Arabidopsis thaliana: one gene and its partners. The protein of the gene in region 1 interacts with the protein of each later gene in a biochemical or structural test. Each region holds a gene or a part of one and is shown on either strand. Other genes may lie near its edges. The genes, in order: TUA5, MAP65-2 and CSI1.

What was found.
Region 2: the proteins of TUA5 (region 1) and MAP65-2 form a complex in vitro, tested with the Arabidopsis thaliana proteins (one study listed by BioGRID).
Region 3: the proteins of TUA5 (region 1) and CSI1 form a complex in vitro, tested with the Arabidopsis thaliana proteins (one study listed by BioGRID).

What each region holds. Positions count from the first base shown.
Region 1 is NC_003076.8:6,681,642-6,692,098, forward strand, and holds TUA5 (tubulin alpha-5), read left to right. Parts: upstream 1-5,388; 5' UTR 5,389-5,570; coding exon 5,571-5,683; intron 5,684-5,766; coding exon 5,767-5,981; intron 5,982-6,058; coding exon 6,059-6,258; intron 6,259-6,369; coding exon 6,370-6,878; intron 6,879-6,969; coding exon 6,970-7,285; 3' UTR 7,286-7,530; downstream 7,531-10,457. Other genes in the region: AT5G19760 (Mitochondrial substrate carrier family protein), read right to left, coding at 88-204; TUA3 (tubulin alpha-3), read right to left, coding at 1,120-1,435, 1,527-2,035, 2,147-2,346, 2,424-2,638, 2,721-2,833; RAP2.11 (uncharacterized protein), read right to left, coding at 7,630-8,391; AT5G19800 (hydroxyproline-rich glycoprotein family protein), read left to right, coding at 9,007-9,297. UniProt on the Arabidopsis thaliana protein: Tubulin is the major constituent of microtubules, a cylinder consisting of laterally associated linear protofilaments composed of alpha- and beta-tubulin heterodimers.
Region 2 is NC_003075.7:13,475,002-13,486,959, forward strand, and holds MAP65-2 (microtubule-associated protein 65-2), read right to left. Parts: upstream 6,870-11,958; 5' UTR 6,648-6,869; intron 6,322-6,647; 5' UTR 6,300-6,321; coding exon 6,228-6,299; intron 6,155-6,227; coding exon 5,951-6,154; intron 5,867-5,950; coding exon 5,621-5,866; intron 5,545-5,620; coding exon 5,329-5,544; intron 5,167-5,328; coding exon 5,011-5,166; intron 4,934-5,010; coding exon 4,622-4,933; intron 4,529-4,621; coding exon 4,441-4,528; intron 4,353-4,440; coding exon 4,204-4,352; intron 4,127-4,203; coding exon 3,833-4,126; 3' UTR 3,591-3,832; downstream 1-3,590. Other genes in the region: ATS1 (peroxygenase 1), read right to left, coding at 160-277; EXT-like (hydroxyproline-rich glycoprotein family protein), read right to left, coding at 847-1,587, 1,858-2,001, 2,102-2,177, 2,693-2,802, 3,102-3,202, 3,288-3,381; AT4G26770 (Phosphatidate cytidylyltransferase family protein), read left to right, coding at 7,579-7,785, 7,858-8,272, 8,348-8,489, 8,564-8,720, 8,812-8,859, 8,937-9,023, 9,112-9,240, 9,324-9,380 and 2 more; AR192 (Co-chaperone GrpE family protein), read right to left, coding at 10,065-10,163, 10,259-10,387, 10,467-10,634, 10,719-11,162, 11,416-11,559. UniProt on the Arabidopsis thaliana protein: Microtubule-associated protein that stabilize microtubules (MT). Involved in the regulation of MT organization and dynamics. Confers MT resistance to the drug propyzamide and cold conditions.
Region 3 is NC_003071.7:9,400,557-9,411,511, forward strand, and holds the start of CSI1 (binding protein), read left to right. Parts: upstream 1-5,502; 5' UTR 5,503-5,794; intron 5,795-6,131; 5' UTR 6,132-6,236; coding exon 6,237-6,302; intron 6,303-6,623; coding exon 6,624-6,697; intron 6,698-6,916; coding exon 6,917-9,974; intron 9,975-10,145; coding exon 10,146-10,955. Other genes in the region: AT2G22122 (uncharacterized protein), read left to right, coding at 2,806-2,988.

The DNA of each region.
Region 1 (10,457 bases):
CAAATCAAGCAAGAATTGTTAATACTAACGAGCTTAGACATAGAGATGGGTGATACAGAAACGTGTATCCGTAAACATTTGACAGACCTTAATCATGTCGATCGGCTGGATAACGCAAGTAGCGAGCATACCAGAGGCACCGCCATTGACGAAGGGCTTCACGGTAGTCCAGACACTGATTGGAGCTTTCTTCTCTTCCGCCATCTCTCTCTTTTCTTTTGTTTTCGTACGGACTCAAACGCAACCAGAAGAAGAGATTCCTTCCGCGGAGAAAAAGAGAGAGAGAAAGAGATTCACTTGGTGGAGAGGAGACGATGAAGTGTGAAGCTTATGGGCCTTTTATATTAACACCACCCAACTGAAACTAAATTGCACCAAACCCTTGCCTTTTTAATTTTTATTTTTTTCCATTTGCATATGAGATCTGATCTAAGCCAGACATATTTTCTAAATTTATTAATTTGGACTTTACTTTTCACCATTCGGATTTTACGCAATCCAAATATTTAGAGTTATTTATTACGCATTCATATGAATTTTAGATTTGACATTCGTCCATTTCTAATTTTCTAGTATGAAGTTGAAAATCGTTAGTATTCTGAATTTTTTGGGTCCAATAAATTCTAATTTTTTAAAAAAATTGATCTTCTGTATTTGTATTTTGTATTTGTTCAATAATTTTTGGCATTTTTCACGCCGTATTTTAGATAGTGGACCAGTGGAGCAGTATTTCTGATGCAATTTGATAATTCTGATGCCCTTTTGTGAAGATCAACGTGGTTTGTTAACATTAGTTGAATCTCATAAATGTATTATTAGCTGATACGACAACAAAGCATATACAGAACGTTGATAAACGTTAGCGCACCGATAGACGAGATTATACTTCAAGGAAAAATGGACAGTTGTAAGAAGATTATCAAAGTTTGGTACAACAAAAGCTTGATAATGAACTCGGGAACTCGCAATGGTCGCTCTACCAATGAAAATGTATCCAACCGAGATAAAACACGAAGACCGAACGAATATTTTACAGGATTTAAACAATCAACAGAATCAAAAGTGAAAACAGATAAACGAAAAAACTTTTTTTGGTTGCAGTTTTTTTGAGAAAAGGTGTCAATAGTCTTCACCTTCATCTTCTTCATCGTCTCCACCTTCAGCACCAACTTCTTCGTAATCTTTCTCCAGTGCGGCCAAGTCTTCACGTGCCTCAGAGAATTCACCTTCCTCCATTCCTTCACCAACGTACCAGTGGACAAATGCCCTCTTCGCATACATGAGATCAAACTTGTGGTCGATCCGTGAGAACACCTCTGCAACTGCTGTGTTGTTACTGATCATACATACAGCTCTCTGAACCTTAGCGAGGTCACCACCTGGAACAACTGTTGGAGGTTGGTAGTTGATTCCACATTTGAACCCAGTTGGGCACCTGCAAAACAAAACCCATGCCAAAGGAGTTATTATATAATAACAACATGAAGGTAGAAACAGTAGCAGCTTTATCCATTTCTAGATCATACCAGTCAACAAACTGAACAGTCCTCTTTGTCTTGATGGTGCCAACAGCAGCATTAACATCTTTGGGAACAACATCTCCTCGGTACATCAAACAACAGGCCATGTACTTTCCGTGTCTCGGGTCACACTTTGCCATCATGCTAGCTGGCTCAAAAACGGCATTGGTGATCTCAGGGACTGATAGCTGCTCGTGGTAAGCCTTGGCGGCTGAGATGACTGGTGCATAAGATGACAGCATGAAATGGATACGGGGATATGGGACAAGATTGGTCTGGAACTCAGTGATATCCACGTTGATGGCACCATCAAACCTCAAAGATGTTGTCAAGGATGAAATGATCTGTGATATCAACCTGTTCAAGTTTGTGTAGGTTGGCCTCTCGATATCTAGGGATCTGCGGCAAATGTCATAGATGGCTTCGTTATCCAAGAGGACAGCTACATCCGTATGTTCAAGAAGGGAATGCGTTGAGAGAACACTGTTGTAAGGTTCTACAACAGCAGTAGAAACCTGACATCACAGAGGAATATGCATTAAAACCAAGTTTCATCCAAATTAGACCACTATAGAAACATGTCATGTAAGAGTTTCTACTTCAGTGTCTAGCAAAAGAAAGAGTACCTGAGGAGAAGGGTATATGGTAAAACCAAGCTTAGACTTCTTTCCATAATCTACAGACAAACGCTCTAGCAACAGAGAACCCAATCCAGAACCAGTTCCACCACCAACAGCATTGAACACCAAAAACCCTTGTAAGCCAGTACAGTTGTCGGCAAGTTTCCTCACACGGTCAAGACATAGATCCACAATTTCCTTCCCAACTGCAATTACAAGAAGCATTCTAAGGACCATTTCAAAAACCCTAACAAGTTAGAACAAGCAGAAAGTGGATTCTCACCAGTGTAATGTCCTCTAGCGAAGTTGTTAGCAGCATCTTCTTTCCCAGAAATGAGCTGCTCTGGATGGAAAAGTTGACGGTAAGTACCAGTACGAACTTCGTCGATAACGGTAGGCTCGAGATCAACGAAGACAGCCCTAGGGACATGCTTCCCAGCACCAGTCTCGCTAAAGAAAGTATTGAACGCATCGTGTGCAACACCAACTGTAGTATCACTGCAACAACGCAAAAGACTCGTATCTCAAAAATCTTCCGATCCACAGAAACAGAGTACAAAGAGTGAATTAGGGTTTATACCTCGGCATCATTCCGTCCGGCTGGATTCCATGTTCGAGACAGTAAAGCTCCCAACACGAATTTCCGACCTGGATCCCAGCTTGTCCGATGTGAATGCTTATGATTTCTCGCATCTTCTCTCAGTAGAAACCCTAATTTCGAGCGATTCGCTTCTTCGACGGACGGAGAATTGAGGAAATGAGAGCGGTGAGCGAGATCTTCTTTTTTTCCTAATTTCCATGATTTTTGTGGGAAATTGATTATTTATTGAATGAGATTTGATAATTGGTTGGGGTCCGCCAAGTTGTGACAGCCTGCCTTTGGGACTGGGCATAGACAAAATACGTGAGATTCGATCTGGATCTAGATCTGGAAGGTGTCGATTTTTATCCGGTTTAAATAACTTACCGGAATTTAGGTATTTCGTTAGTATGAGTGAGGTAAATAATAGCTTAACCGACCTAAATCGATATTATAGGTTAAATTAGGGTTTAGTGGTTTAAATAACTATTGGTTATAGTAGGATGTTTTTGTAAGCGCCAAACAGAAAAGAAACGTCATGTAAGGTTGTCTTTGTTATAAGATTTTGATTCTCTTAGTGCATTTATTTATTAATTAACTTACATAAATATTGACTACGTAAAACGTGTTTTCAAGATTTGAAATCACAAGTTCTGAGATAACCCCGTATAATCCTTTTAATGACATAAGTAGGAGAATAAAAATTTGCAAAACTATAAATTTGTAGAATGAAAAATTGCATAATAAAACAAACAAATATATGTGTCTAAAATTAAATATACATATAATATGTATTTACATAATGAATTTTTATTTTTATTTTCTATGAAGAAAACAAAAATTCTGTATTTTTGCGTTTTAATAAATATTATGTTAATTTTCTTAATTGGTAACATTCTTATATACTCGTATTAAAAAAATGTCATTTTGCAATTACGCGTATTACTAATCGGAGCCAAATATTTTTATATTTTTCAATGAGTGGATAAAGGTACGACCAAAATGATGGTTTGATAACCAAAATGATTGTAATGATACGAAAGATAAACTCATATAAATTGATCATTCTAAGATTGTATTGGATGAATTGAGATAGTCAGCTAGATTAATTCTCTAATTGCTAAGTTAAGTTAGATGAATTGAGACAATCAGCTATATTAATTCTATATAGCATATTTTTCCTAAGCGGTTTCAGATTAAAGATGTCAAAGTGGGTTAAGCAATTGTTTAGATATAATGGATCAAGATTTCAAGATAAACGATTATCAAATCCATTGAATTCATGCATGCGGTTAGGAAGATAGCTTAAGTAGCAATTCAATCCTATAAATATAATGTTTTAAGGGAATTTTCATCCATTCAAACTAACAAAAAGACAAAAAAATGCATGATCCTAAAGCAATTGATAGTTAACCTTAAGACTAAAAAATTCCCAAAGAGAGTATACAGTAAAGTAGACAACGGTCGAGTGAAACCGTGAATCCGAAGAGAGTACATAACGGTCACAAAGTTTGCGAGTTTACAAAAATGCTAGTTGATATGATTGGAAATGGGTTGGGTTAAGGAATTGTTTGATTAAATATGTCATCAAGACAATTATTTCATATTTCCACATGACTTGGTTTGTTTATGAACACAAATAATGAATAGAGAGATATATAACTATTACATAAATAGTTATTTAAATTTTTTGCATGTAATTTATTAAAACTTCAGTTATGTATTGTGGTGGTTCTCATTCACACAATATCATGAAAATGAATAGATTTCAGACTAGGGACAAATCTTTTTACTTTACATTCAATATCCTAAGAACATTCCCAAATCGTTTTAAGAAAGGGAACAAAACAATTGCAGAGGATTTGAGGAAGATGAAGTAGAATGTGGATGTGAGAACCCTTACATCTCCAAGAAACACTAAACAATACTAATAATCTACTCATTCATAGGTTTACATTATTTTCTTTTCTGCACATAAGTTTACATGATTACATCCATTTGATCTCACTCCCGTTAGGTGCCGACTGCCGACCCAATAACTTCACATAATCTTATACATATATTATTGAGAGGTTCATATTATTTTTACTAGTATATATAATCGAATGACCCTGTATATTTTCATTTGTGCACCCACTTTTTTTTTGTTTCCACCTAATCAATTTTTTGATTAAAAACCATTAAATACCAAAGAGTTGTCCATTATGTTTTTTTTTGGTGTTTTAAATGTCCATCCATAATTATTAATTCATAAAGCATATCACTAAATAAAATTGATGATATAAAAACAACTATAGTATGATCATGACCAATAGTTTTATGTGACTTTTGTCATTATGTAGATCAACACAACTGAATCTGTTAAAACGTGTTCAAAAAAAAAAAAATTGTAGAATCTGTTTGAACAAACAATAATGAAAAAAACATTGAACCGGATCGATAAACCAATCCACGATTCGATCCTATATCCTAAATTGACGTAAACCAATCCGGTCCATAACAATAAGTAACATGTATCCGCCGAAGATATTTATGCCAGCCAAAATTGAGAAACTGTAGAATGAACTGGATCGTGTGGGCAATATTGTAAAATGAACTCATTTTCGAACAAAAGCGAAGCCGTGGGACCCAAGGCAGGCTGTCACAAAATGGCGGACCCCAACAAATTATCAAATCCAATTCAATAAATTAATCATTTTCCCTTCACAAAATATAAACCTAATTTGCCAACGAAGTTGAACCAAAAAAAGAAGATCTCACTCTCACCGCCTTCATTTCCTCGATCTCCGTCTTCCTCCTTCTCCGTCTGTCGCAGAGCATCGCTCGAATTAGGGTTTCTGCTGAGAGAAGATGAGGGAAATTATTAGCATTCATATCGGACAAGCCGGGATCCAAGTCGGAAATTCCTGCTGGGAGCTTTACTGTCTCGAACATGGAATCCAGCCCGACGGAATGATGCCGAGGTATAAACCCTAATTCTCTCTTTTATACTCTGTTTCTGTGGATCTGAAGGTTTTTGAGAGACGAATGTTTTGCTCTGTTGCAGTGATACTACAGTTGGTGTTGCACACGATGCGTTCAATACTTTCTTTAGCGAGACTGGAGCTGGGAAGCATGTTCCTAGGGCTGTCTTCGTTGATCTCGAGCCTACCGTTATCGACGAAGTTCGTACTGGTACTTACCGTCAACTTTTCCATCCAGAGCAGCTCATTTCTGGGAAAGAAGATGCTGCTAACAACTTCGCTAGAGGACATTACACTGGTGAGAATCCACTTTCTGCTTGTTCTAACTTGTTAGGGTTTTTGAAATGGTCCTTAGAATGCTTCTTGTAATTGCAGTTGGAAAGGAAATTGTGGATCTATGTCTTGACCGTGTGAGGAAGCTTGCCGACAACTGTACTGGCTTACAAGGGTTTTTGGTGTTCAATGCTGTTGGTGGTGGAACTGGTTCTGGATTGGGTTCTCTGTTGCTAGAGCGTTTGTCTGTAGATTACGGAAAGAAGTCTAAGCTTGGTTTTACCATATACCCTTCTCCTCAGGTACTCTTTCTTTTGCTAGACACTGAAGTAGAACCTCTTACATGACATGTTTCTATAGTGGTCTAATTTGGATGAAACTTGGTTTTAATGCATATTCCTCTGTGATGTCAGGTTTCTACTGCTGTTGTAGAGCCTTACAACAGTGTGCTTTCAACGCATTCCCTTCTTGAACATACCGATGTAGCTGTCCTCTTGGATAACGAAGCCATCTATGACATTTGCCGCAGATCCCTAGATATCGAGAGGCCAACCTACACAAACTTGAACAGGTTGATATCACAGATCATTTCATCCTTGACAACATCTTTGAGGTTTGATGGTGCCATCAACGTGGATATCACTGAGTTCCAGACCAATCTTGTCCCATATCCCCGTATCCATTTCATGCTGTCATCTTATGCACCAGTCATCTCAGCCGCCAAGGCTTACCACGAGCAGCTATCAGTCCCTGAGATCACCAATGCCGTGTTTGAGCCAGCGAGCATGATGGCAAAGTGTGACCCAAGGCACGGAAAGTACATGGCATGTTGTTTGATGTACCGAGGAGATGTTGTTCCCAAAGATGTTAATGCTGCCGTTGGCACCATCAAGACAAAGAGGACTGTTCAGTTTGTTGACTGGTATGATCTAGAAATGGATATAGCTGCTAATTTTTCTACCTTTATGTTGTTATTATATAGTAACTCCTTTGGCATGGGTTTTGTTTTGCAGGTGCCCAACTGGGTTCAAATGTGGAATCAACTACCAACCTCCAACAGTTGTTCCAGGTGGTGACCTCGCTAAGGTTCAGAGAGCTGTATGCATGATCAGTAACAACACAGCAGTTGCAGAGGTGTTCTCACGGATCGACCACAAGTTTGATCTCATGTATGCGAAGAGGGCATTCGTGCACTGGTACGTTGGTGAAGGAATGGAGGAAGGTGAATTCTCTGAGGCACGTGAAGACTTGGCCGCACTGGAGAAAGACTACGAAGAAGTTGGTGCTGAAGGTGGAGACGATGAAGAAGATGAAGGTGAAGACTATTGACACCTTTTCTCAAGCAATGTGCTACCAAAAAGTTTTTTCGTTTATCTGTTTTCATTAATGATTCTTGTTGATTACATGTTTGTTTTAATCCTGTACAATATTCGATCCTCCTTCGTGTTTCATCTCGGTTAGATACATTTTCATTGGTAGAGCGACCATTGGGGAAGATCCCGAGTTCATTATCAAGCTTTTGTTGTACGAAACCTTCATTATCTTCTTACATTGTCCATTTTCTTTAGGTACAATCTTGTCTATTGGAACATTGTAGAGATGTGTTCTACTTTACAATCATGGATCATTGATCCAAACATTACATGAATTGATCAGGAAAAGTAAATTGGAAATCACGTAGGGCAGAAGAGTTGGGAGAGTGAAGGGAGATCCCAAATGGGATCGGTAGGATCGAAAATTGCATATTCTGCATTCATGTTGTCATAGTAACTGTTAGCTCCATTCATTGCATATAGGGACGCAGATATCTGTCTTTCAATTTCTGCAAGACCCAAATGTTGATCGGTTGAGTAGTGATCGTTGAGATGTCCATGTGTTTCTCCCCCTGCCTGAGCCAATGGAATCTGATGGTTGAATCCAGAGACAAGGGGCCACGAATAAGGAAGCTGGAGACCCTCGGTTTCTGGTTGCCCAATGACCGATGAATCTGGTCGGTACACATTATTGAGCGGTATGGCCGTGGTAGTGGTGGTGGTGGTGGTTGTGGTGAGACTAGTAGCAGTCGAGATGTAGTTGATGTTGCAATCCGTTAAAGAAGAAACTGGTTTGTGTTGTTGTTGTTGCTGCTGCTTCATGCTCTGCTTCTGGTGAAGAAGATTTCTGATCTTCAAAGATAGTTGTGAGTTGTTAGGAAAATGGTTTGCGAAATTGGTGCGAGTATTGGAGCCACGTAAGAGACATGCAGCTTCATCGTAGGCTCGAGCGGCTTCTTCTGCGGTTTCAAAGGTTCCGAGCCACATCCGTATCTTTTGTGTAGTGTCTTTGATCTCTGCCACCCATTTTCCTGAAGGCCTTTGCCTAACTCCCACAAACTTAGTCTTGTTGCCTTTGCTCTTCTCCTTAGTTTTCTGCTTTGGAGTTGTTTGATGTTCCATATTTTTTTTGTATGAATCTGTACATAGACATAGTTATAGGCATATATATAGGGATACATAAATTTTTCCATTTTGTGCTCGTATGTTTGGGTCAAATCTTAGTGGTTGTCTCGTCTTTCTGAAAACTTGTTCTTGTTATTTTAGTGATGATACGGATTACGGATATGAATTTTATAATTATGGGCTTTTGGGTACTCTTGAGAATCATTCAGAGGTTTTATGTGGGTTCCATGTATTAATTGAGTGCGCACCATTTTCTGATTTTCTTAGTATTAAAAAGATTTGTACAGAAGACAAATATGATGTGTTTATTTCTCAGCTTGGAACTGCGAATATTTTACCCAACAAACTATATTTTTTAAGACTTACGTATGCTTAATGTTTAGAGGGAGGCCTCAATAATGAGAAGAAGAGATTTTTTAAATGCTAAGCCGACCAATTTATACTTTAAAAACAATGATCTTGACAAGATCTTACAAGGTTAGTGGGAAACCTCTAAGTTAGAGCTTACAAGAAAAATATCAATCTATATATGTCTTAAGAATATTAACAACAACTTTAGCAAAGAAAAAGAGAATATTAACAACAATAAGTAGACAATACTGACCTGAAATAATGGTGTCGCAAAGGTTTTCCTTGACCCTAGTTTTTCTATTGGCAATCTTAATCACAGTTGCTAATGGAAACGACAACAGAAAGCTATTGACATCTTACAAATATTCTCCTCCTCCGCCACCGGTCTATTCACCTCCAATTTCTCCTCCTCCTCCTCCTCCTCCTCCTCCTCCTCAATCGCATGCTGCTGCCTACAAGAGATATTCACCGCCGCCACCACCCTCTAAATATGGAAGAGTGTATCCACCACCTCCCCCCGGAAAATCATTGTGGTCGTTCCTTAACCTCTAAGAAGCATGCAAGTGGCTCAGGAGAAGACATTTATTTTCTGCCATATATTACTCACTGATGGATTGTTATGTAGCGATGACTAAAGCTTCTTCTGTTTTTTTTTAACCTTCTTCTTTTTATTGTATTGATTACTTTTGCAGTTTGTATATTCAAAATTTCTGACTAAACATCAAATGGGCCATCTTTCGTTTATTGATTGGAGACTTCTTTTACAGGTTTTATAAAAGATGATCATTACATATATATACACCCACTTTTGACTTGCATCAAAACAGTTTTTCTATAAACAAAACTAGATCGAATGTAACCATCATCTAGATTACATGGATAGATCTAACTCTTAAGTACGTAAGATTTATACAATGTTTAAGGTTACATGGCATTTATCCTTTAACAAATACAAGTAGTGGTTAATTTAGAACAAAGTCATTACATCCATCAAATATCGAAGAGAGAACACCATTTTCGAAGCAGATGCCACAGAGTCTTTAACCGGGAAAGGGTGGTTCATCCGTTGATACGATACCTAGCCAAAAGTGGAAATATGGGCGTCTACATTGTGAAAATTCTTTGTGTTCGAGAGAATTTAGAAATTTCGGGGATACTAAAGAGAAGCTATTACACATATCTCTCTCTAAGTTTTCTTTCAAAAGGGGTCATATTTTTTGTTAGAGGTTAATTGAGTTTGGTCGCTTGTTTTATTTAATTATGTGTATGTTTGTTAAGTTTATACATTAGGAGTTGGGTCTTGTCCTAAGGGTAGTTATGTTAAGAGTTAAAAGGGGAGAGTTACAAATCTTGTTCTTAGTGTTGTTTGGTCGGGTCTGTTGAATATTATAAGAACACGTTGTCTTTGTTTGGTCGGGTCAGATTTTCAATAATAAGAAACTTCAGTTTTAATTTCATAACTCTGTTTCTGTCTCTCTCGTCGACAAGTCTCTCTGTTTCTTATTTATCAAAGTCCTTCAACAATCCAACATTTATCACAACCTCATAAGCGAAAGGTTTTTGATGACCTAGGTGTCTTGGGCAATTAGGCCTTACCATTGGTGAGAGGCCAGCTCAAGTCAAGCATACGATCACCGGAGTCATTCTTAATGAGGTTGGCAGATCTGATACGATTGGTGTATCAAGAAGAATAAGAATGAGAGACAAAGCAA
Region 2 (11,958 bases), on another chromosome or scaffold:
ATCATTCTATATGCATGTTTTAAAAATTTTGAGGGTCGGCAATTCCATATATTTAAAAGGGTTTCTTAAATTCAACCATATATCAAATATTTTTTGGCATGCAATATATTGAAATCAATTAGGGATAAAAAAATGCAAGTAGCGAGAGAAAGGTTTTACAAGGTTTAGGAAGTCTATCATCCAAGTCAACACGAGCACGGCGATGGTAAGTGACCGGCGCATAGGGAGCCACCGTAGCCATTGCGTCTCTCTCCATCATCTCCGTCTTTGACCCCATCTCTCTCTCACTTTGTCTCTAGACTGAGTGCAAATGTATGTGTTTGTCTTAGAGTAAAGAGTATAATGAGGTAATAATAATAAGAATCGATTTGATTGATGTGCGTGGCGGACATGCACGCGCCGACGAAAGCAGCGATTGACATCTCTCTTTCCTTGTCTTTGACGCACATCTCTTCTCTCTTCCTCTGTCTTACACTTGACATGACTCTAGAGACACGTTTTCTTCCATGTTTCATCACTCTTTCTATTCTTGTCTGCTAAATTCAGTAATTCGGGCCTCTATGGGCTTTTATATAGGCCCAACCTCGAGTACTAACACCACCCGCTACATGAGTGCGTGTCCCACACTCGCTCTTTACGTGAAGACTGAAGAGGAACTCCATTGCCTATGTATGTATGAATGTACACGAAGTTGCAAGGAAAATTTTATGATAATAAGAATAATTCACACAAATTTTCTTTGTAAACGAAGTCTGAGCCTGAAAAGTTAATAAACAAACCCACAAATGTTGAGAACACACACACGCACTAACATCAACCCCAAGTGTCATAGATTAGATATAAAATTCAGTGACCGGCACCGGCCGATGGATTTGTTAGCAACTCAAGTGACTTCTTGAGATGTTCTACAGCAGTCGAGACTTCATCAAAAGCCAAAGCTCCCACAGCGAATCTAGCAGCCTTGAGTGCCTCTGCAACCTTCTCAGGCCCTGGCTGGTAGCTGCTATCGTAATGGTACTTCTGAGCTGAACTCGGTGCAGGATCTAGCACGGGAGCAATATTGATACGCCCGTTTGATGAGTAAGGTGGAGGAGGAGGAGCAGAGGAGAAGCTTGTGGAAGAAGGAGCAGGTGCAGAGTGCGGAGAAGAATAGTAAGGTTCTGGGTTTTGGTAGTGAGAAGGGTAGTGGGGAGAAGTGGATGGGAGGCTGCTCTCACTAAAGCTAGGATAAGATTGGAAATTAGGGAGAGAATTTGGAGAAGGCTCATGAGATGAGTAGTTTTGCGGTGGCGGCATGTGTTTTGGCGGGTCTTGGTGGTATGGTTGATGACTGTAAGGATGCGGGTAAGGGGAGTCTGATGGTCCTGTGGGAGGGGGAAGATGATCGTTGGAAGGGTAAGAAGACGGTGGTGGAGGTGGGACATCTGCGGGATAATCGTTGGTCGGATTGTCATAAAACCTGGGAGGTAGAGGGTGTTGTGGCACTTCAGGGAATTGATGGTGGCTGGAGTCATCATTCGAGTCATGGGGTGGATCAAGCTCTGTTCTATGATGACTTGTTGTGTTGGTATCACTTGCACTGTGATCCTGTAGATAATTAACATGCACAAACAATGAATCGATTAAGTTGATGCAGACGTTTTATCATAGTGTTTTGACAATTGAGAAAACAAAAACCTAAAAGTACACAGGTGGGTGTGAATGTGTGTGTCTCTAGCTAGATGATTTTGATCAGCGCTATGCGAATTCTATAAACATTTACGCTCCTAAACACTTTTCGATATTATTGGACAGAATACACGCTAAGCCAATATCAAGATATTTCCAATCCATAAATATTCAAGAAGAGAAACTTACATAGGAGCCACTAGGACCGCTTGATGGGATGGATAAATCAGTATCATCATCCACAGGATCACCTGGAGTGGGCTTCCTTCCTTCTTTAATGGCTTTCCTTATGTCAGCAGCCTTCCAAGCAGCATACTTGTGTTTCTGCTCTATCTGTTAATGGGAGCCATTACATATATACACATATCAATCTCCCAACACAGCTGCCTCTTAAGGTGATGTTAAGTGAATAAAAAAAGAAGTAGGAACTTACATCAGGAGGTACGGGACCAAACTGGCTCAGAATTTCAAAGAAGATGCTCGCAGCATAAAAAGTTTTGGCAGTGCCCCTGTCACAAGCACAACAAAGTTAATTTGGATAATCCATCGCAACTCGGAAGCCTATGTAATTGAGTCAAATGAATGCAGGTGTTAGCACTTATAAAATAAGGATACAGACAGTAATCGAACTAATATCAGTATCCAACCATGCATAGAAACACATCAATGCTGGAGATACAGGTATTTCGCAAAAGCAGAACAGGTAGAAGACAACAGGTCGAGATAAGCCTTGGATGCATCCAACTAATTACTTAACCCGCTATCTTAAACGATGGTAGAGGAAGGTATCACCTAAAAACATGTCTGCCGGACATGCATACTCATTGTAAATGTATGTGTACTTGCACGCTATTTCCAGTATTGGCAAACACAATAATACTAGACAGACAATGAATCTATAGAATCATGCTAATTCGACTCATTGAGCTAGTGTTGACGGTGACCCTAAAATTATTAGAAACTTGAGGGCAAAAAAAATGCCATTCTATATATAATCAAACATAAGAGCAAAAAAAATTCTTACAAGTCTGCTCTTCCTGCACGATCCTGCTTGTCTGCCTTAGCAAAGACACTAAGTGCAAACCCCTCCACATGCATATTGTCATCTGGGGACAGAGTCAATGATTTTTTATCCTGGAGTTACACAAAAAAGAAATCGCCATAAGAAACTGGAACTAATCAAGAAATTGCCTCATGAACTCTGTCAATCACATGAACAAACCTAAGCTAAATTTAGATATAAGCCTCCTTACCAAACACAAACATAAATAAAAAAACTCCAGCTTTGTAACAAGTAACAACATATAATAATCAAAGTCAAACACATCATGAGAATTACTAAGAACCGGTCCTTTCAAATCTAAACAAGTAAAAAATCAAACAAGCTGAAATAAATCAGAAAAACTCACAATTTAAAACTTCAAAGGTAATACCTTTTCGAGTTGATTAATGAGAGACATGAGAATCGAATTGGTGGTCTTAGTTCTCTCGCTCTGCGGAATCTTCAATCCTCGTTCCATTGCATATAGCCGACCTAATCAATCACAAAATTCCATGAATACACACAATCGCAGGAGGCGATCATCTAGGTTAGATATAGATAAGAAAACGAAACTCACAGTAATAAGCAACAAGTGGTTCATGCTTCTGCAGCTCATCGGCACGTTGCAGGTAAGGCAGAAGAGCCCTGGCTGGTTCGTTTGGGTTCGACATAGATTCTCTCTTCTCTCGAGCTCCGTAGCTTTTTCTCCGATTGATTTGTTAAGACAAAACAGCTCAAGAAATTTTCCTGTATTTAACGCGCTTCTGATTGCAAACTAGAAACGACGTCGCAGAAAGGACCTCTAAAATCCCAAACCTTCTTGGAAACTTTTTAAACTTTTAAATCATGCCCAAAAGATCTTTCAGTATATTACAATTTTGCCCAAATATTATTTCGTAATTCCAATTAGAACCTTGACTTTCATTCACTAAACCGGTCACTTCACATTAGTCATGCTAACAAGTACCAAACAAATTTGAGTGAATGAATACAGAAACAGAAACATCTAAGTAACATTCTACTCTCATTGTCTTTGTTTCTAAGTGTTTGTTTCTTAAACAGCACTATTAGCAACTAACAAAAGTGTAAGTAAGCATTATAACTCTCTTTCTTTTGATATTGTCACGGTGAAGCCATCACTGGGTCAGCACGAGAGACTGGAGATGCAGCATCATCTTTTGTGTTGGCTACAATGTTCGAAGGTGAAGCTATCTTGTTCAGACTGTCTCTCTTGGACTTGCTTCCGTTCTGGTTTGAGTTCATAGACAAACGCCTCATAGGAGTTTCGTTGAGCCCTCCTCCATTGACTCGTGTTCCCACCGGTTTCTTGGCACTAACGGGTCTTGCAGGGCTTGGTTTAGACCCAAAGGCGGATTCTTGATCTGTGTGTGGCTGTTCTTGCTGCTTCTTCTGTTCCTGTTAATGAAAAGGCAAGATTATTTTAAAAGAAGTTAGTTTCAACAATCGGTTTAACACAGGATGAAACAACTTACTTTCAGCCTCCGCTTCTCATCTTCTCGTTCTTGCCTAAGCATAGTGTATTCATCTAGCATGGCGAGTAAAGGAACTCCATCGTACTCAAAGGACATACTGTTCTCCTCTTCCCATGCCCGGGTTTTAGCAATCAACGTGTCAACCATAGCTTGCACAAACAAAGTATGATATATTCTTCAGTCTCAGTTTAATTCTATGTGTAGTAATAACTAAGAGAGACTTTTGGAAGTTCTTACCAGTAATCTTGCTGACCAGAATCCGAGCTTTCTCAGCTCTCTTGAGATTCAAATGCGCACCTCGGCTTGCACTATACCTGTTCTGATCCTGTTTTTCCAGAACAAAAACCCAAAAGAATCATCAATTGAACTCTATGCTTAATAAGTAATGTGTTTATTAACATAGCCAATGTTAGCATACTCGATTGTAATCTTCGAGCCAGCTCTCTTCCTCACAAGCTGACATCCATTTCTCTACACGGTCTAAAATTTCTTTTCTACTAAAGGCTTCCTCCTTGGCCTTTGCGATCTGGCTATCCATGTCAGCCAGTAACTCAGTAGGTTCAGTATTCCCAGCATCAATCAACGACATGATCCTCTCACGAACAACCTCTGGTTTTATTTCTATGTGAGCACGAGCATATATCTCCTCAAGCTCTGATTGCTTTTTGAATGCAATTTCCTTCATTCTGCTAGATTTCAGTTGATCAAGCCTATCCACTTCCACCTCAGCCTTCAAGAGTTCACAGAAGATTTTTAAAAGCAGTACTTATCATACACATTGATTGATACATTACAAATTTACGATACCTGTTCGATAAGATCAAGTGCGAGAGCACCAGAGGCAGTCACTTCATGAACTGAAGCTGAAATGTTAGAGGTAACATGGTCAAAAAGCTCCCTTTCCTCATCAGAAGTATCCATCAGATTCCATAGATCAGTTAGCTGAGTAGCTAGTTCTTGAAGCTGCATAAAACCAAGATACATTAATGAAATCCACAAACAAGAATGGTGCAGAGAAAAGTTACAAACTTTCAGCGCAATTAATCAGAAAGGATTTCAACATATGTGCAGCCTAAACTGACCAAGCTCATGTCAGAGATCACAAAGACCATGATTTTGACTAACCTTCTTAAGTCTTTGCATTTTATCTTCTTTAAGAGTCAAGACAGTCTTAGCCAACCTTGCAAGTGTTTCATTGCTAATGCTCTTGGTTTGAACACCATTTGCCTCATCTAAGCTCGGATGAACTTCGGTGACAGTGCTTAAGAAATCTAAACGAAGGACGGCACATAGATCATGCACCGTGCTCACAAACTCGAGCACCTTCTGTAACCTATCACTCTGCTCAAACACAAAGCAGTTTTAGTTCTGGTTTGAACATAGGCCACACATAACCATATCCCAACTAATATTTTACCTTCTCTTTCTGGAGCTCTTGGAGTTTCCTCTGGAAGTCATCTAATCTCTTTAGAGACAAGTCAGTCTCATCAACCACATGAGGTCCATTGTTCAATCCGCCAGCGATCTCCTCACATATCTTCTGAATCTGTGATTGTACATCAGAAAATGCCCGGACCCTTTCCTCTTTCTGTTGCCAAAGTTGTTCAAGCGCAGGTGCTATTGCAGAAAGTTGTTCTTTGATCGTTCCTGAAGTCTTATCAGGCTGCAATGGAAACAAAGACATTGAATCACACTACACTGTAACCATCTCATCTCTTTACCACTTGTAAGACGTGAGATTACTTACAATGTCGATATAGCTTTTTTCCCCGAGAGCAGTTGTGAGATTGGAAAGTTCAACAGTGGCATCTGACAAAGTCTGAAGAAGCTCTGCACGAGATTTTGCGGCTAGCTCAACTTTCTTTTTGTAAACATTCAGACACTCTTCCTCAATCTGTAGAAGCAGTTTGTCTCGTTCTTCATCACTCTCCCCAACCTCATCCCAGATTTCCTGTAACAAGTTTGTACATTGAGTTTGTGGAACCATATATTAAAAGGATAAGTGTGTATGTTGCGAAATCTACCTGCAACTTCTGTAGTAAGGTGCCACAAGTGATTTCACCAAGAAGAGGATTTTCTGCTTCTGTCACTGCCATTCTTGTGAAGTCAAAAGGTTTCCTACAAAAGTAGAAACAACGAACATATTTAGTGAAGATCCAAACTAACTATACACTAAAAGAAACCAAAGTTGCAATCTTTTTTAGAAAACCAAATTGAATCAGAAACAACATTTTGAACTTGGGAACAAAAACACATCAAAGAACTTAGTGAAGCTAAGAATGTGAAACTAAGCTCAAGAAAAGCTCGAAAGGAACTTCAAAGAAATCAAACAGCATTGGTGATAAAACCAAAGCCAAAGCAAGAAATCAACATTGAAGAAGTAAAGAGGCAATGAGCTGAAATGAAACTAATCGAATCCAACAAGTAGAAGATGGCTTTCTTACCTTAATCGATATTGAATCCAAATGGTTTATCTTCCTCTCTTTTAGATCTGAAGCGACGAATAGTCACTGTGAGAGTAAGAGAGAGAGAGAGCATAGGAAACAGAGAAATCTCCAACTTTGGTTATGGAGGTTGGGAAATGGGAAAAGTGGGACCCATTTTACGGAACTCAATAATTAATGAGGAAAAAACAACAGCAAAAAGGTGAGAGACCCTGTCTTTTCGCGTTATTTACTGATTTGACCACTGATCTCACAGACCTCGTTGACTCCTCATGCTCATGTCTGAATAGTTAAAAGGCTTTCCTTAATGGGCTTAAATATCTGACCCAGCCCAAACAGATCAAGACAACACGTGTCACTCATTCCGGGTTTAAACATGAAGCAGCGACATGAATAGTTTATTGGTTCTCTCTTCCGATGATTTGATGAAACCTCACCGCTAAGTGCTCATCCACCACCTTCCTCCTCCTCCTTCTTCCCTCACCTTTTGAGTTTCTTTCTTCACGTTTCTTTTCATTAATTAGGGTTTCGCATTTTCAATCACCATCATCCCACCACGTTTTCGTTAATGTAAGTTCATTCTCTTTTTTCTACTTGTCATGATCCCATTTTGTTGCAATGTTCACTTATGAAATTTATCCTTTGTATGTGAATCATCACGTTTTGCTTTGATGAATCATTTAGATTTCTAGGCTTACACATTCAAATCTAAATCCTCTATTATATGCTTGTTACACAAGTAATCTCTCATCAGATATCAATGTGTGTGTTTCATTAAGACGTGTATAAGCTCGAGTTATGGTTGACATTTTGAAATTATAGATCAACCCCAAATTCATTTCCTCGGATGTATAAAGAAACCCAGATCATCATGATTAACTGAATTTCAAGAACTCAATCCAGGAACTGAGAGCATTTCCTAGGGATCTCAATGGCAATGGAGAAAGATCTCAGTCCAAATTCTCCACGGATTAGAAAGCTAAGGGATACTAGTTACCCTACTACACCAACGTCTCGAATGAATACTAATAACCAGAGAGATAACCATTATCCCAACATTCCTAATTCACCAAGGGATTACAATTATACTCCTAGCTCTCCAACAGCTCGCATTCGACACCGCAGGCGATCAAGCGAGGTATCTATACAATGTCATACTCTCTTTTCCGGTTGAATCCAAAATTTGATTGTCTTTTTCAATATTGATCAGAATTTAGCTGAGGTGAACAGAAGCAATGTAAGCAGAGTAAGCAATTTGTTACTTGGTGATAAGAACAAGTACAGATCAATGTGGATAAGGACATGCTCATCTCTCTGGATGCTCGGTGGAGTTGTGTTTATAATCTACATGGGTCATCTCTACATTTGGGCTATGGTTGTGGTTATACAGATATTCATGGCCAAAGAGCTCTTCTTTCTTCGCAGAAGAGCTCATGAAGAACGTCGCTTACCCGGTTTCTGGCTCTTGAATTGGCACTTCTTCTTCACGGCTATGTTGTTTGTCTATGGACGCATCATTCAACAGCAGCTAGTCAACACGGTTTCTTCAGATAGATTCATATACAAGCTTGTGAGTGGTCTTATCAAGTACCAGATGGTTATTTGCTACTTCTTGTACATCGCAGGTTTGTCTGTTTCTTTTTTCTTCACAAAAACAATACTCTCTTTCTTGATTTATTAACAGCTTAAGTTGGATTCAGGTCTCATATGGTTTATCCTTACATTGAAGAATAAGATGTATAAGTATCAGTTTGGGCAATACGCTTGGACACATATGATCCTTATCGTTGTCTTTACTCAATCTTCTTTCACCGTCGCCAATATTTTTGAAGGGATCTTCTGGTACAATGGACTCTTATATATATCCACTGAAGCATAATAGTTTTCCCGAGTGCTAATTTCTTTTAAATATGCAGGTTTCTTCTACCAGCAGCACTGATTGCTATGAACGATGTAGCAGCTTACTTCTTCGGTTTCTATTTCGGGAAAACTCCGCTCATCAAGTTGTCTCCAAAGAAAACATGGGAAGGTTTCATCGGAGCATCAGTTGCAACTATAATCTCTGCATTTATTGTAATAACCTTCTTCTATCATTTATTCATTCGTTCGTAACTCTTTCTTTTGGTCTCAAGACTGATAGATTATTATCTGCTTCGTACAACAGTTTGCTAATGTCTTAGGCCAGTTCCAATGGCTTACATGTCCAAGGAAGGTAACAAAAAGTGATATCTCCATCACAATATTTTGTCTCGGCCTTTACTTCATCCTTGTGTTGCATATCTTTTGCAGGATTTATCAACTGGTTGGCTTCATTGTGATCCAGGCCCTCTCTTCAGGCCAGAGTATTACCCATTTCCCTCTTGGATTACTCCATTTGTAAGCAATTAACTGTCCTCTCGTGAAAACCAGCCGATGATGTTGTCTTGTTTTGAAACTGAGCTCCGTTGTGAACTTTGCTTAACAGTCTCCATGGAAAGGGATCTCGACCCTGCCTGTCCAATGGCATGCTTTTTCTCTCGGTCTATTCGCATCCATTATGGCGCCTTTTGGTGGCTTCTTCGCAAGCGGTTTCAAAAGAGCTTTCAAGATCAAGGTTAACACATTTTTCAAACATTAAAAGGTTTTGTATCTACAGATCCAAGAACAAATATTTACTAGTTTATGTCGCTTTGACAGGATTTCGGAGACAGCATACCAGGACATGGAGGATTTACTGACAGAATGGATTGCCAAGTAAGAGTCACTAACGTCGAAAAGTGCAATATGATCTTTGCATCGTTTTAAACGAATCTTGTTGCCTAAATGCAGATGGTTATGGCGGTTTTCGCATACATCTACATCCAATCTTTCATTGTTAATCGGGACTACAGTGTCGAGATGATCCTAGACCAGGTAAGAATCATCATATAAGCCAAGAATACGGAGGCATTGTAAATAATTGATTGTATTATACCTGCAGATATCGAGGAGCCTGGGACACGAGGAGCAGAAAATGCTTTATGAAAAGCTCGGAGACATTCTTCAACATAAGTTGCAAGGGAGGTTTTAAATAGTGAGTGCAAGTTTTGTGACTCTGTTTTCAGCTTCTTTCTCTATGGTTAGTTTCTGGTTGTATCAGACCATGTAAAACCTTGATTTGTATCTGATTTAACTAATCAAACAGAGACTTGGTAATAGTGTGCGAGTAGAAGAGATGTAAAATGATATTTTCCTCGTTCAATTATAGCATGGAGATAGAGAAAACAGACACAGAAGCAGGATTTCCCCTGCAAATGCCATGTCCAGCAACTTATGGGAGATCTTGTTCATCTAATGAATAACCAAACCACAAAAGAAAACTATGACTCGAAGACTCGAGAAGATGTTAATGGAAACATAGAACCGTAACAAAATTTATGAAAACCAGCTGACTTCTTCTTAAGCATCAGACTCTTTCTTTTCTTCTTGGTTCTCTCCTCCCTGGGTAACACCAACCTCAGCTGGTCTTATAACTCGGTCATACAGCGTGTATCCAGACTGCACATATTGACACCCATCATTACTAATTGGTATTTAAGACTATACAATATGAAATAAAGAGACAAAGAATTGAGCAAGCTTTATATATTTACCTTCAAGACATGAGCAACTGTGCCTTCTGGCTTAGAAGCATCAGGGACTTGGAACACTGCGTTATGTCTGTTTGGATCAAATGGCTCGTTTATAGGATCATACTTCTCCATACCAAATTTCTTAAATACCTGCAGCGGCACACATGTTTAACCGGTCTCATCTGCATTGCTTACTTAAGGTCTTATAATTACATTTCTCGATATTTACCTCAGCAAGCTGTTTCTCAGTCATCTCCACTCCTTCTAAAAGGGTCTTTAATAGTGGAGCTGCTCCAGCAGAATCTTCTGAGGTGTCAAGCTTTGAGAAGCTTTCTTTGACAACCGAAGAAGCTCTTCCAAGATTATCCGCCACATCCAATAGGCTCTTTGCAAAATTCTGCATACATATATAGTGAATATATATATTTCAGAAAACTATTATATGAAACAAAAGCTGCAAACCAAGTTCTTAAAGACTAACCTGTACGGCATACTTTTTGGTGTTTTCAGCATCACGTCTTGTTCTGTCCATGACATTCTCCATCTCAGCATAAGTGCGAAGAACTTTGTCTTTCAACTGCTTAATCTCTTCTTCCTTCTCAGACAGTAGCTCTTCCTTCTCAGCTACGAGCTTCACCAAATCATCGGCTGACAATTCATCATCATCACTCTCAGAATCTGATTCAGAAGATGAAGATGCAGCTCCTTTAGCACCTTTCCGCTTTCTTTTTGCAGAATCTGTCACAGAATCTTTAGATTCAGAGTCAAGACCTGGTTGGTTTGCCTCAGCTGTAGGTTTCTCTTCACTTGTCTTTGAGGCCTCAGTGTGGGTCTTCTTCTCATCTGATTCAGGCGAGGTAGAGGAAGAAAAATTGAACCTTTGCAGTGCAAACGAATCCATCATAGACATCTGAGCTGGAACAAGCTGCCCCCAAAAAAAAAAGTAAAATGGGTTAAACTCAGTGAAATGATACAGAGCAAAAACCTATAGAGAATCTAAACCATTCTTCTATTGTTTATTCATATATCTGAAGATTCAAACATAAGAGATCAAGGAAACAGTATCAGAAGATAGCAATCATTTCTAGAAACTCAAATGAGGGAAAGCCTTAAACCCTAACAAAACCCTGAATTGCAATTTCGGCATGAATAGTGATTAATTTGAGTGAAAATCGAACCTTATGCGAGAAATCGTGAGCTAGGGAGTGAAACCGGCTCGAGAAAACAGGAGTCTGATTCCTCGCCGGAAGAGTGACGGCGGATAGAGATGAGCGTATGCCCGCGTTGCGGGTTACTCGCGACAAAATTCTCAAAACCAACATCTGGAGATCCACCACAGATGAACAAACAGAGATCAAGAAGATAAGAGAATCGAATCGAATCGAAATGTAATTGTTCTGAGGAAATTGTTAATTTGCAGAGGCACACAGAGTGCTTGGTGGATGGATAGTAGAATTCACAATTCTCTCTTTCGGGGTTTTTAGTAATTTACGTAAATAGCCTTACCGCTGCACGAGCGGGCTGAGGCTAAAATGATCGCTTTGATTCGGCGAGCCTGTGAGGGTATTATTGTCATTATAGCAAATGGGAGATTTTGAAAGCTAATTTGAGAAGCCTCTAGAAAGAACCAAAGGTACTTGTATATCTTTGGGACAGACGAAGTCCATTTATCTCCTGGGCCTGATTGGTACAGTCCTACCAAACAGAACAAGCAGCAGTAT
Region 3 (10,955 bases), on another chromosome or scaffold:
TGCCAGCTATGTTTGTACTCGTAAAAGGCATTAGACATATGACTACTAGTCTACCACAACTGTTGATTTTGGAAATGGATATTAAAATTGTAGGATTGGTAGACTGGTAGTCATAAATTCATGGTTGGTCCTTTTTTGTTTCATTGTTCCATTAGCTAAAAGCTTCATACCAATAGTAACAATATTGAAGTTTTTACTAATGTATGCTTCATCCTATTCTTCGACGCTTTGCTTGCCAAAATATTGGTATGCATAGTCTGATCCGCAACGTATGAACCAATCATTTTAGTCCTTTTAATCAGTAGATCTTTAGTTTGTTCCACTAACAATGCAGTGTCAACTTTATTGTGAGTGTTCTCTGCGCCTTGAACCAACACAATCCTACGATCTTGTGGTAAGACCTTCCGAATCTAGCAGTGCATAACACTTTTTCTATAATATATACGATTCATACTAGCAGTGCATAACACTTAAGCTAATGTTCCAAACTCCTCTTTAATTTTCTTGATTGGAGTTAGATGTAAATATATAAAAACACAAGTATATTGGAGACTGATTCGATATACATAAACAACTAGTAATATGGTTCATTACCCAAAAAAAAAGAAACTGGTAATATGATTCCAAATCATAATATATACACTATCGTTCGTCCCATACGTACGAATCACATAGTATATAGTCATAGATATCGCGTTGGTCGGACTCGGACACTCAATGGTCGGTAAATTTTAAACTATACAGAAATGATGACAACTTTAATTAGCATAGTAGCTAAAAAAAACAGAGCAAATGTTAACAGTTATATAATATAGTTGCATAAGGCCTTACGAGCCGACCTTAAAGCGAAGGCCACCATATGTAGATAATGCCTCCTTTCTAGTTCGATTATTATTTATATGTATTTTAGTTATTACCCACTTGTTTCACTATATATGAACTAAAAATACTGAATAATTCTTTAACAAAAAAACAAAGCTATTTATAATTAGTTACGCTAACAATTTAATTTTTAAACGTGATGAAATATTTGTCTAACTCACGAATAAATACATTATCATAAGCGACTAAACATGCATTCTTGTTTTAAAAAACAAAAAGTAAACCAACTTGTACCTTAATAATATTTATATTTTTGGTGTGTACCTTAATAATATTGATTAATACCCTTTAATATTAATGTCCTTTTAAAAAATTGATTATTGTCGCTACCGTGTTATTACTTTTTATTTGCGTCCGAATGATTCATTATATTACACAAACATGGAATACAAAATAGAATGCGGTTTTGAAACATTAAACTGATTAGAGTCGAAACTCTTTCGAAAACTAAGCCGGCGAAAGATAAAAATATCTCCAGAAAACTACACCAAATAAGGAAAGGAAACTAGAAACAAATATCTCTTGTCTTCTTAATTTTCTTTGTTTTTTTTAAAAAAATATTATAAATGTTTAAATGCATAATATTTTTTTTCTTGTGCTCTTAACGTAAGAAAATAATAATAAATGTTGTTATCACTGTATAAATATAACCAACAAAAAAAAGGTAAAACAAAATGTTGATGAAATTCATGTGTCAGACTGATGCCCTTTTTAACACGTAGAACGTGGGTGTTAAATGTCGTTAATTATCATGGAAGCATCAAATGTTATACTTATACACAAGAAGAAACTGAAGAACAAAAAATAAAGAGAAAAAGAAACTAAAGAACTATCTTAAAATGATACATATGTTTTTCAATTGCTTGCGAGTTTCAAGGTTAGTAGGATTGTTTTTCTGGTATTCGAATTTTTTAGGATGTAAAAGTTTACATATACACTAGCTAAAACGCTGATATTAGGGCTGGGCACAAGTACTCGTTACTCGTCCTATACTCGCTACTTGGCTCGTACTCGCTTTGAAAAAACAAGTACTCGTTATTAATAAGGCAAGTAACAAGTAGTATAATTTAGATACTTGCAAGTACAAGTTAAGTAACAAGTAATGAAAAAAAATTAATACTCGACTCGTTTGACTTGTTACTCGTTATTATTTTACTATTTTATATACATATATTGTATTGTTTTAGCGTTACACATTTAAAAACTACATTAGAAATAAAGTAAATTTTAAACATGTAAAAAATATGATAAATAAAGTAATAAGTAATTTTAAGTAATTCGAAAGTGTTACTTGCAAGTAACTCTCAAATACTTGCAAATAACTTGTAAGCAACTCGCAAGTAGCAAATAATAATTCGTAAATATTTGTAAATAACTCGCAATGAGCAAATAATAACTCACAAGTATGTATAAATAACTCGCAAGTAGCAAGTAACATGACAAGGCAATCATATTTTAGCAAGTACTTGTAATTACAAGTACTCGTTTTTAACAAGCCAAATACAAATAGTTATTTTGATTATTCGTACAAGGCAAGTCGAGTAACAAGTATCCCTAAATTAGCAAGTACTCGCCTTGCGCCCACCCCTAGCTGATATTGTCCATAAAAATATCAGTGCAATAGTTTTTTAACTATTTTAAATTCGGCGAAATGGGTCAAAGTCAGACAATGAATCGATTAAAGTTAAGGAAAATAAAAAAATTCAAGGGATAAAGAGAATGAGCATGGAGAAGCATAATGATGAGAATGGAATCATATCCAACGGCCATAAAGCATAAGTCCTTTCTCTATAAATTACGACAACTTCTCTTCATCATTATAACCAAACTCATCCTTCACTTCATTATTCCTTTAACCACACATTCTCTTTGTTCATTATAATAATCAAATTAACTAACATATAATCGAACTATAATCACAAAATGTCTTCGATGGGAGCAAACTATGCACAACTTCAAGTCATGCAGAAGAAGCAGAAGGAGAAGATGATGAAAAAGAAGTTGGAGAAGAGAAGAGATGGCGGTGTTGACGGTGAAGAAGGAGGTGGCGTTTCTTCCGCCGGTAATAGAGTATTTCCGGTCAAGTCTTCTCCGTTGTCGACTTAAGAAAAAGTAGAAAGACAAGAGTGAATTATGAAGTGTGAGATATTTTCTTCTATTTTCAGTTGACTTTATGTGTCTCTATGTCACTATGTGTGATGTGATGCGATGTGATATACAAGTGGTCGTCTTTTGTATCAAGTTACGTAATTTGTGTTCTTTTTTTTTTTTTTTCAATGTCGATTGTATTAAAAAAAACTTTGTATATTTTCGTAGATTTCAATCAACATGTAAGATATATCTCTATTGACAATCTATTTTGAAGTTTTTAATTTTTGAATTTCGCCAAAACGTTTACCAAATTTGTGAGACTTGCATAAAACACGAGTGGTCTATTCAGCCTATAAATTAGTTGAATGCTACAAGCCTACAAGCTTAAAATAAATCGAAAATTTTATATATTAATTAAAACTTATAATTTGTTTAGTTCTGTTTTCTTTCTCAGTGACTGTTGATTTTATATATAATTGTGTCTGACCTAAATTGTATTGCGTATGATTGAAACTTGTATGATTTGTAGAAAAGAGAGAGAGGAGGAGTGTCTATATGTTTTTATTTCTTTTTGTCTTGGATCCATTACCATATCTATAGGTCTCAGATTCTATGTTTACAACCTAAACTGTTTTCATTATCTATGAAATATTTACAATTTAGCAAAAAAAACAATGACAATCTACTCATCAAGAGGACTAGATGATGACTTTCAAATCTTTTTTTTTTGGTTTTTTTTTTTTTTGGCAAAGATGACTTTCAAATCTTTGCAAACAAAATCAAAATGTAAAAAATGAGAGAGAGAAACCAAAAATAATAATGAGAAAATAGTCTATTAAGAAAAGATGTACGTAAGAATTAAGTTAAAATGTAACACTAAAATAAAAGAAAAAATCAAATGTATGATAAGACCCTCATCAAACCATTATATTGAAGTAAATTATATATGTATGAAAATGAAATATCAAAGAGTTCTTTTACTCTCACTTATGACACGCTAAATTAAAACCACTAAAAACCATAATATTAATTTCACGGCTACAAGTTGATGCTTCCTCAAACTTACTACGTTCCAATGCCGGGCACTGATTAAATATGGACTTCACATCTTTTTTTTTTTTTTTAGATATTCATTTCCAAACGGTCTATTGACAGATGGGCTAAGAATTTCACGGGTTACAAAAAAGTGGTCCAAATCGGAACATAATAGAAACAAGATCAGTAAAACGACGGTTCACCGGCCGGAGACGCAGCCTTCACCTTCTATATCCGATGCAAATTTAACATATTTCGAACGAATCTATGAGATCTATATGAGAATTTTGCTTCTTGGGTTTTATACGGTTCGGGAAAGTGGATGTATCAAGTTGTGACAAGAAGCATCAAAGAATATGACTTTGTCCAGTCATTTTTATGGTATAGTGATGATCGTCAATGATCATAATTGGCTAGGAAGAAAGAGCACATGTGCATTCATATGATTATCATAATTGTGCATATCATATGCTTTTATGGGCATAGTTGTCGATAGAAACAAAACATGCGTCGAGGAAAAAACAAAAGAATAGTTAAAACTTAGAATCTTTGATTCTCATGAGCCATGAGGCCATGTGCTTTTTCTCTCCCACGTTATATGTTTTACCATCCTTATAATTTGCTCCCCCGACTTCTCTCACTTTCAGACGAAAAGAACTGCTGTCGCGATTTTTGAACAATTATGGAAAATAATTTAGATGTGAAGGAAGCCGTAAAAATAGTTATTATACTTTTTGTCCATATATATAGAATTCGTGATGATTATGTTGTGGATGACAATTGGTGGTAGATAGAAACCTTTACTATCGCCATTGTTATGGGCTAATTAATCAAGTTTGGTAACAAATCAACATAATAGGACCAATAACAACAACTACTGCAGATCTTACTATTATTCTTTTTATTAATTCATCAGTATATTTTATTATTTTTTCTTGATTGTTTATCCGATTGATCTTGTAAGAGATAACTTTTGATTATTACATAACTTACTTCAACATGTTAAATGACACAATAAAATAGACAATTTATTTTTGATATCCTTTTGAAAAATATTAAATAAATATTTGTAATGACTGTGTTGCACTAAAAAATCGAGATAACCCCATGAGTGATAATTTGGTAACATAATCTAAACTTAGAGACAATTAACTAATTAAGTTATTATCTGAGAAATAAATTAGACAATATTTTTATTCGTGTGTGTAATTTTTGTGGTATAATATTTTTTCTTATATTGTTTCAATTCTACGGATGTTTTGGATAAAAAGGTTAATCAAATTTATAAAATGTAAAATTTTGCTTGAACAAATGAACCAAAATGTTTACTAATTGGCTAATTGCTGGAAAAAAACAGTTATATAATTTTTGTTAACAAAAAAAATGTTTGATGTAAATAATTAATTCACAGCTAAAAGTCAATTTCCTCATTTATTTTTGATTAAAGAAAGTAATAAAAAACAATTAAGTATACCATTCGCTGTACAAGAGTCGTTTAGTTCTGTCGGCTCGACAACCGACTCAAGCCGGCTCGAGTCGCTAAGTGAATCCACTCGCTGTCTGTCGGTGGACAAAGCCGGCTCCAATCTGATCACTCTCTCTCACCAGCACACACACAGCTCTCTCTCTTCCCTCTCTCTCTCCCCCGCTTTATACTTTGTTGAGTCAAAATCACAGACGAAGAAGAAGAAGAAACCTCTCTCTCACTCCTCTCTCCTTTCTCTCGTCTTATTCGCTTCTCTTCTACGTAACAGATTGTTCATCTTCTTCTCCTTGTTGCATTGAGGTGAGTTCAATTTGATCTATCAATGTCTAAATGCATGCTTTTTGAATTATCGGATCTCTTGTGTTTGATTTCATTGATAGAGATCCAATTATGATCTAGATCTGAAGAATCCTGTTTTTTGAGTTCCTATTGGTTAAAAAGTTTCCTCATTTAGCTTTAGTTCGAATCTGGAATGTTAAACGATTCGGATCGAGATTTAGCAGTAGTAGAATTCAGTTAGGTAGAGTGATATTTTTATACTATTAGTCTTCAATTATAATATAATTGCATTGAGCTTTTCCTACTTCACTGTATCGTTTTCTATTGTAAAGATTGATCCTTTTTATATATTATGCAGGGGGTGTTGTTGATGTTCTGACGATCTGATTTGAGTAGATCTGGGTAGGGGGCAAGGTCTCTGGGTCTACTTTTGATTTGAGAATTTTTTAAGTGAAGTGAAGATATGACAAGTGCTCTTGGATGGAGATTTCCTTCCACTAATGGAAATGGCCTTGCCCCAAGTGACACGGTAATAATTACTTGATTCAGTATTAACATTCATCACACGGGTTTATGGAAAAGCTTGTTTAGTTGATATACTGCAATCTTTCTGAGTTGCAAAGTCAGATCTGGTGTATTAGCAGGATGATTAAGCTGATATGTCCCTTGCATTTTGAATCTGATTTGAAAAAAGTACTTGAGCTAAGTCCATTGTTAATTAATGGCTTTGTACCAGTCAGTTATATCTGATAGAGTGTCATGATAAAGGTTATAGTTTTTCCATTGCATAGGAGCGAAAAGGTCTTGTTGCTCTTTTAACTTATTTTCTGTTGTTTGGTCTTGATTGCAGGAGAGAAATGGGGATATGAAGATGCATGATTCAGAGCCCCCAACTCCACATTCAACCACAAAGATGAGTTTGAGGTAACGCATATATGTATTTGGTACTGCATGGGAGCTAATCATCGTGATAAAATTGAGGTTTTATCTGTATTTGTTGCACCACCATCTTGGTTTAACAATGCCTGTGGAAATTAATATTATCTGGATTGGTTTCCTATGTTATCCTTTCAAATGAGACATTTTAAGCAGAAAGGCACACCTATTAGCGAATTAGTATCTAACTTTCCCCATCCCCTGCAGAGACCGGACAACCAGCATGGAAGATCCAGATGGGACATTAGCAAGTGTTGCCCAATGCATTGAGCAGCTGCGCCAAGGTTCATCATCTGCACAAGAAAGAGAATATTGTCTGAAGCAGTTACTGGACCTTATAGAAATGCGTGAGAATGCATTCAGTGCTGTCGGATCACACTCCCAAGCTGTGCCAGTACTTGTCTCTCTTCTCCGATCGGGATCAGTTGGAGTGAAGATACAAGCTGCAACCGTCTTGGGTTCACTCTGCAAGGAGAACGAACTTAGAGTTAAGGTGTTACTTGGGGGATGCATTCCTCCATTGCTTGGTCTTCTCAAGTCCAGTTCAGTCGAAGGGCAGATCGCTGCAGCAAAGACAATCTATGCTGTTTCTGAAGGTGGGGTTAAAGACCATGTTGGATCAAAAATATTTTCCACTGAGGGAGTTGTACCGGTTCTGTGGGACCAATTGCGCAGTGGAAATAAAAAAGGAGAGGTTGATGGTTTGTTAACTGGTGCACTTAAGAACCTTTCTAGTACCACAGAGGGATTTTGGTCTGAGACAATTCGAGCTGGGGGAGTGGATGTACTTGTGAAGCTGCTCACAAGCGGGCAGTCAAGTACACTATCTAATGTCTGCTTCCTTCTTGCGTGTATGATGATGGAAGACGCCTCTGTTTGTTCCAGTGTATTGACTGCAGACATTACAAAACAGCTTCTCAAATTATTAGGATCGGGTAATGAAGCCCCAGTGAGGGCAGAGGCTGCTGCTGCTCTCAAGTCGCTTTCTGCTCAATCTAAGGAAGCAAAGCGGGAAATCGCTAATTCTAATGGTATTCCTGTTTTAATAAATGCAACAATAGCTCCATCTAAAGAATTCATGCAAGGTGAATATGCGCAAGCATTACAAGAAAATGCAATGTGTGCCCTTGCTAATATTTCCGGTGGTTTGTCATATGTCATATCAAGCCTTGGTCAGAGCCTTGAATCTTGCTCTTCGCCTGCTCAGACTGCCGACACCCTTGGGGCTTTAGCTTCAGCATTGATGATATATGATGGCAAGGCAGAAACTACAAGAGCATCAGATCCATTGGTCGTTGAACAGACTCTGCTGAAGCAGTTTAAGCCTCGTCTACCATTCTTGGTGCAAGAACGTACAATTGAAGCACTTGCAAGTTTGTATGGGAATTCCATACTCTCTGTCAAACTTTCCAACTCGGATGCAAAACGTTTGCTTGTTGGTCTAATAACGATGGCGGTGAATGAGGTTCAAGATGAGCTTGTAAAGGCTCTTCTGATGCTGTGTAACCATGAAGGTAGCCTGTGGCAAGCACTACAGGGCCGTGAAGGGATCCAATTGCTAATATCTCTTTTGGGTCTTTCATCCGAACAGCAGCAAGAATGTGCTGTTGCACTTCTTTGCCTTTTGTCTAACGAAAATGATGAAAGCAAGTGGGCCATCACTGCTGCTGGAGGTATACCTCCACTTGTTCAAATTCTAGAGACTGGGTCGGCCAAAGCCAGGGAAGACTCTGCAACTATCCTTAGGAACTTGTGCAATCATAGCGAAGATATACGTGCTTGTGTTGAAAGTGCGGATGCTGTCCCTGCTCTCTTATGGCTACTAAAGAATGGTAGTCCAAATGGTAAAGAAATTGCCGCCAAGACATTGAATCATTTGATTCATAAATCAGATACTGCAACTATCAGTCAGCTTACTGCTTTGCTGACCAGTGATCTACCTGAGTCTAAAATTTACGTTTTGGATGCATTGAAGAGTATGCTTTCTGTGGTCCCATTCAATGACATGCTACGTGAAGGCAGTGCTTCCAATGATGCTATTGAGACAATGATCAAGTTGATGAGCTCTGGTAAAGAAGAAACTCAAGCAAATTCAGCATCAGCTCTTGCAGCTATCTTCCAGAGCAGAAAGGATTTGCGTGAGAGTGCTCTAGCCCTCAAAACTCTCTTGTCGGCCATAAAACTGTTAAATGTGGATTCGGAGAGGATCCTTGTTGAGTCTTGCCGCTGCCTGGCTGCAATTTTACTTTCAATTAAGGAGAATCGCGATGTGGCCATTTCTGCCAGAGAAGCATTGCCTACCATAGTATCTCTAGCCAACTCTTCTGTTCTAGAAGTTGCTGAGCAAGGAATGTGCGCTTTGGCTAATCTTATATTGGACAGTGAAGTGTCAGAGAAGGTCATTGTCGAAGATATCATCTTGTCCGCCACTAGAATCTTACGTGAAGGTACAGTGTCTGGGAAGACACTTGCTGCTGCGGCAATTGCCCGCCTCCTTAGTCGTCGCCGAATTGATTCTGCATTGACAGATTCTGTGAACCGAGCTGGAACAGTGCTTACCTTAGTGTCTCTTCTAGAATCTGCCGATGGAAGATCTGATGCAATATCAGAGGCCCTAGATGCGCTTGCTATATTCTCAAGGTCAGGAGCTAATGGAAATGTAAAACCAGCTTGGGCTGTTTTGGCTGAATCTCCCAACAGTATGGCCCCAATAGTCTCATCTATAGTGAGTGTTGCTAATCCTTCACTACAGGACAAAGCTATTGAAGTTTTGTCAAGACTTTGCCGAGATCAGCCTATTGTTTTGGGAAACATGGTCAACAATGCCAGAGATTGCGTGTCATCTATAGCTAAAAGGGTGATAAATACCAGGGACCCGAAAATAAAAATTGGTGGAGCTGCTATTATTATCTGTGCTGCCAAAGTTGACGACCAGAAGATGATAGAAAATCTGAATGAGACACAATTGTGTGCCAAATTCGTTCAAGCACTTGTGGGGATCCTAGATTCTGTGCAAGATCAGGAAAAGGATGAGAAAGATAAAATCTGCATATGCATTCATCCCAAAGAAAAGGAAGAAGATGAAGAAGAAGAGGCAACAGAAAATAGGGAGGGTTCCACGGGGGCAACAGTTATTTCTGGAGACAATTTAGCCATCTGGTTGCTCTCGGTTCTTTCTTGTCATGATGAAAAGAGCAGAGCAGTAATATTGGAGTCAGAAGGCATTGAGTTGATTACTGACAGAATAGGCAACCGTTTTCTCCAGGTATTCAACTCTCTTATAGATTAAAATCTTTGAGATCACAACTTATCAAAGTTTCAGAAGTATGGATAAAAAAAAACATATTATGAATCTGTGATAGCGTTTAACATTCTAACTCATTTTGGAATGCTAGGTTGTCGTTTATGTTGCTTTAATACCTTTTTTACATTTCAGGCTGATAATGGAGAAGATGCCAACATTTGGGTTTGTGCTTTATTGCTGGCCATACTTTTCCAAGACAGAGAAATCACTCGCGCACATGCAACAATGAAGGCTGTTCCAGTGCTCTCAAATCTTGTGAAGTCAGAGGAATACGCAGACAGATATTTTGCAGCACAAGCTCTAGCTAGTCTTGTCTGTAACGGTAGTCGCGGAACTCTTCTATCTGTTGCAAACTCCGGTGCTGCGGCTGGGTTTATATCATTGCTTGGTTGTTCTGATGATGACATAAAAGAACTTCTGCAGCTGTCGCAGGAGTTCACTTTAGTGCGGTACCCAGACCAGGTTGCCCTTGAAAGGCTTTTCCGAGTTGAAGATATTAGAGTTGGGGCTACTTCTCGAAAGGCGATTCCCTTACTAGTTGAACTTCTTAAACCAATTCCAGACCGCCCCGGTGCTCCTCTACTTTCACTTAATCTTCTAACTCAGCTTGCTGGGGACTGTCCACAAAATATGATTGTCATGGTAGAGTCAGGTGCTCTTGAGGGTCTCTCGAAATATCTTTCCCTTGGACCTCAGGACGAGCAAGAGGAAGCTGCAACAGGTCTTTTAGGCATCTTATTTAGCAGTGCTGAAATTCGAAGGCATGAGTCAGCATTTGGCGCGGTCAGCCAACTTGTAGCTGTTTTGCGTCTAGGTGGAAGGGGGGCAAGGTACAGTGCCGCCAAGGCATTGGATAGTCTCTTTACTGCTGACCATATAAGAAATGCAGAGTCTTCTAGACAAGCTGTTCAGCCATTGGTAGAGATTCTCAACACTGGTTCA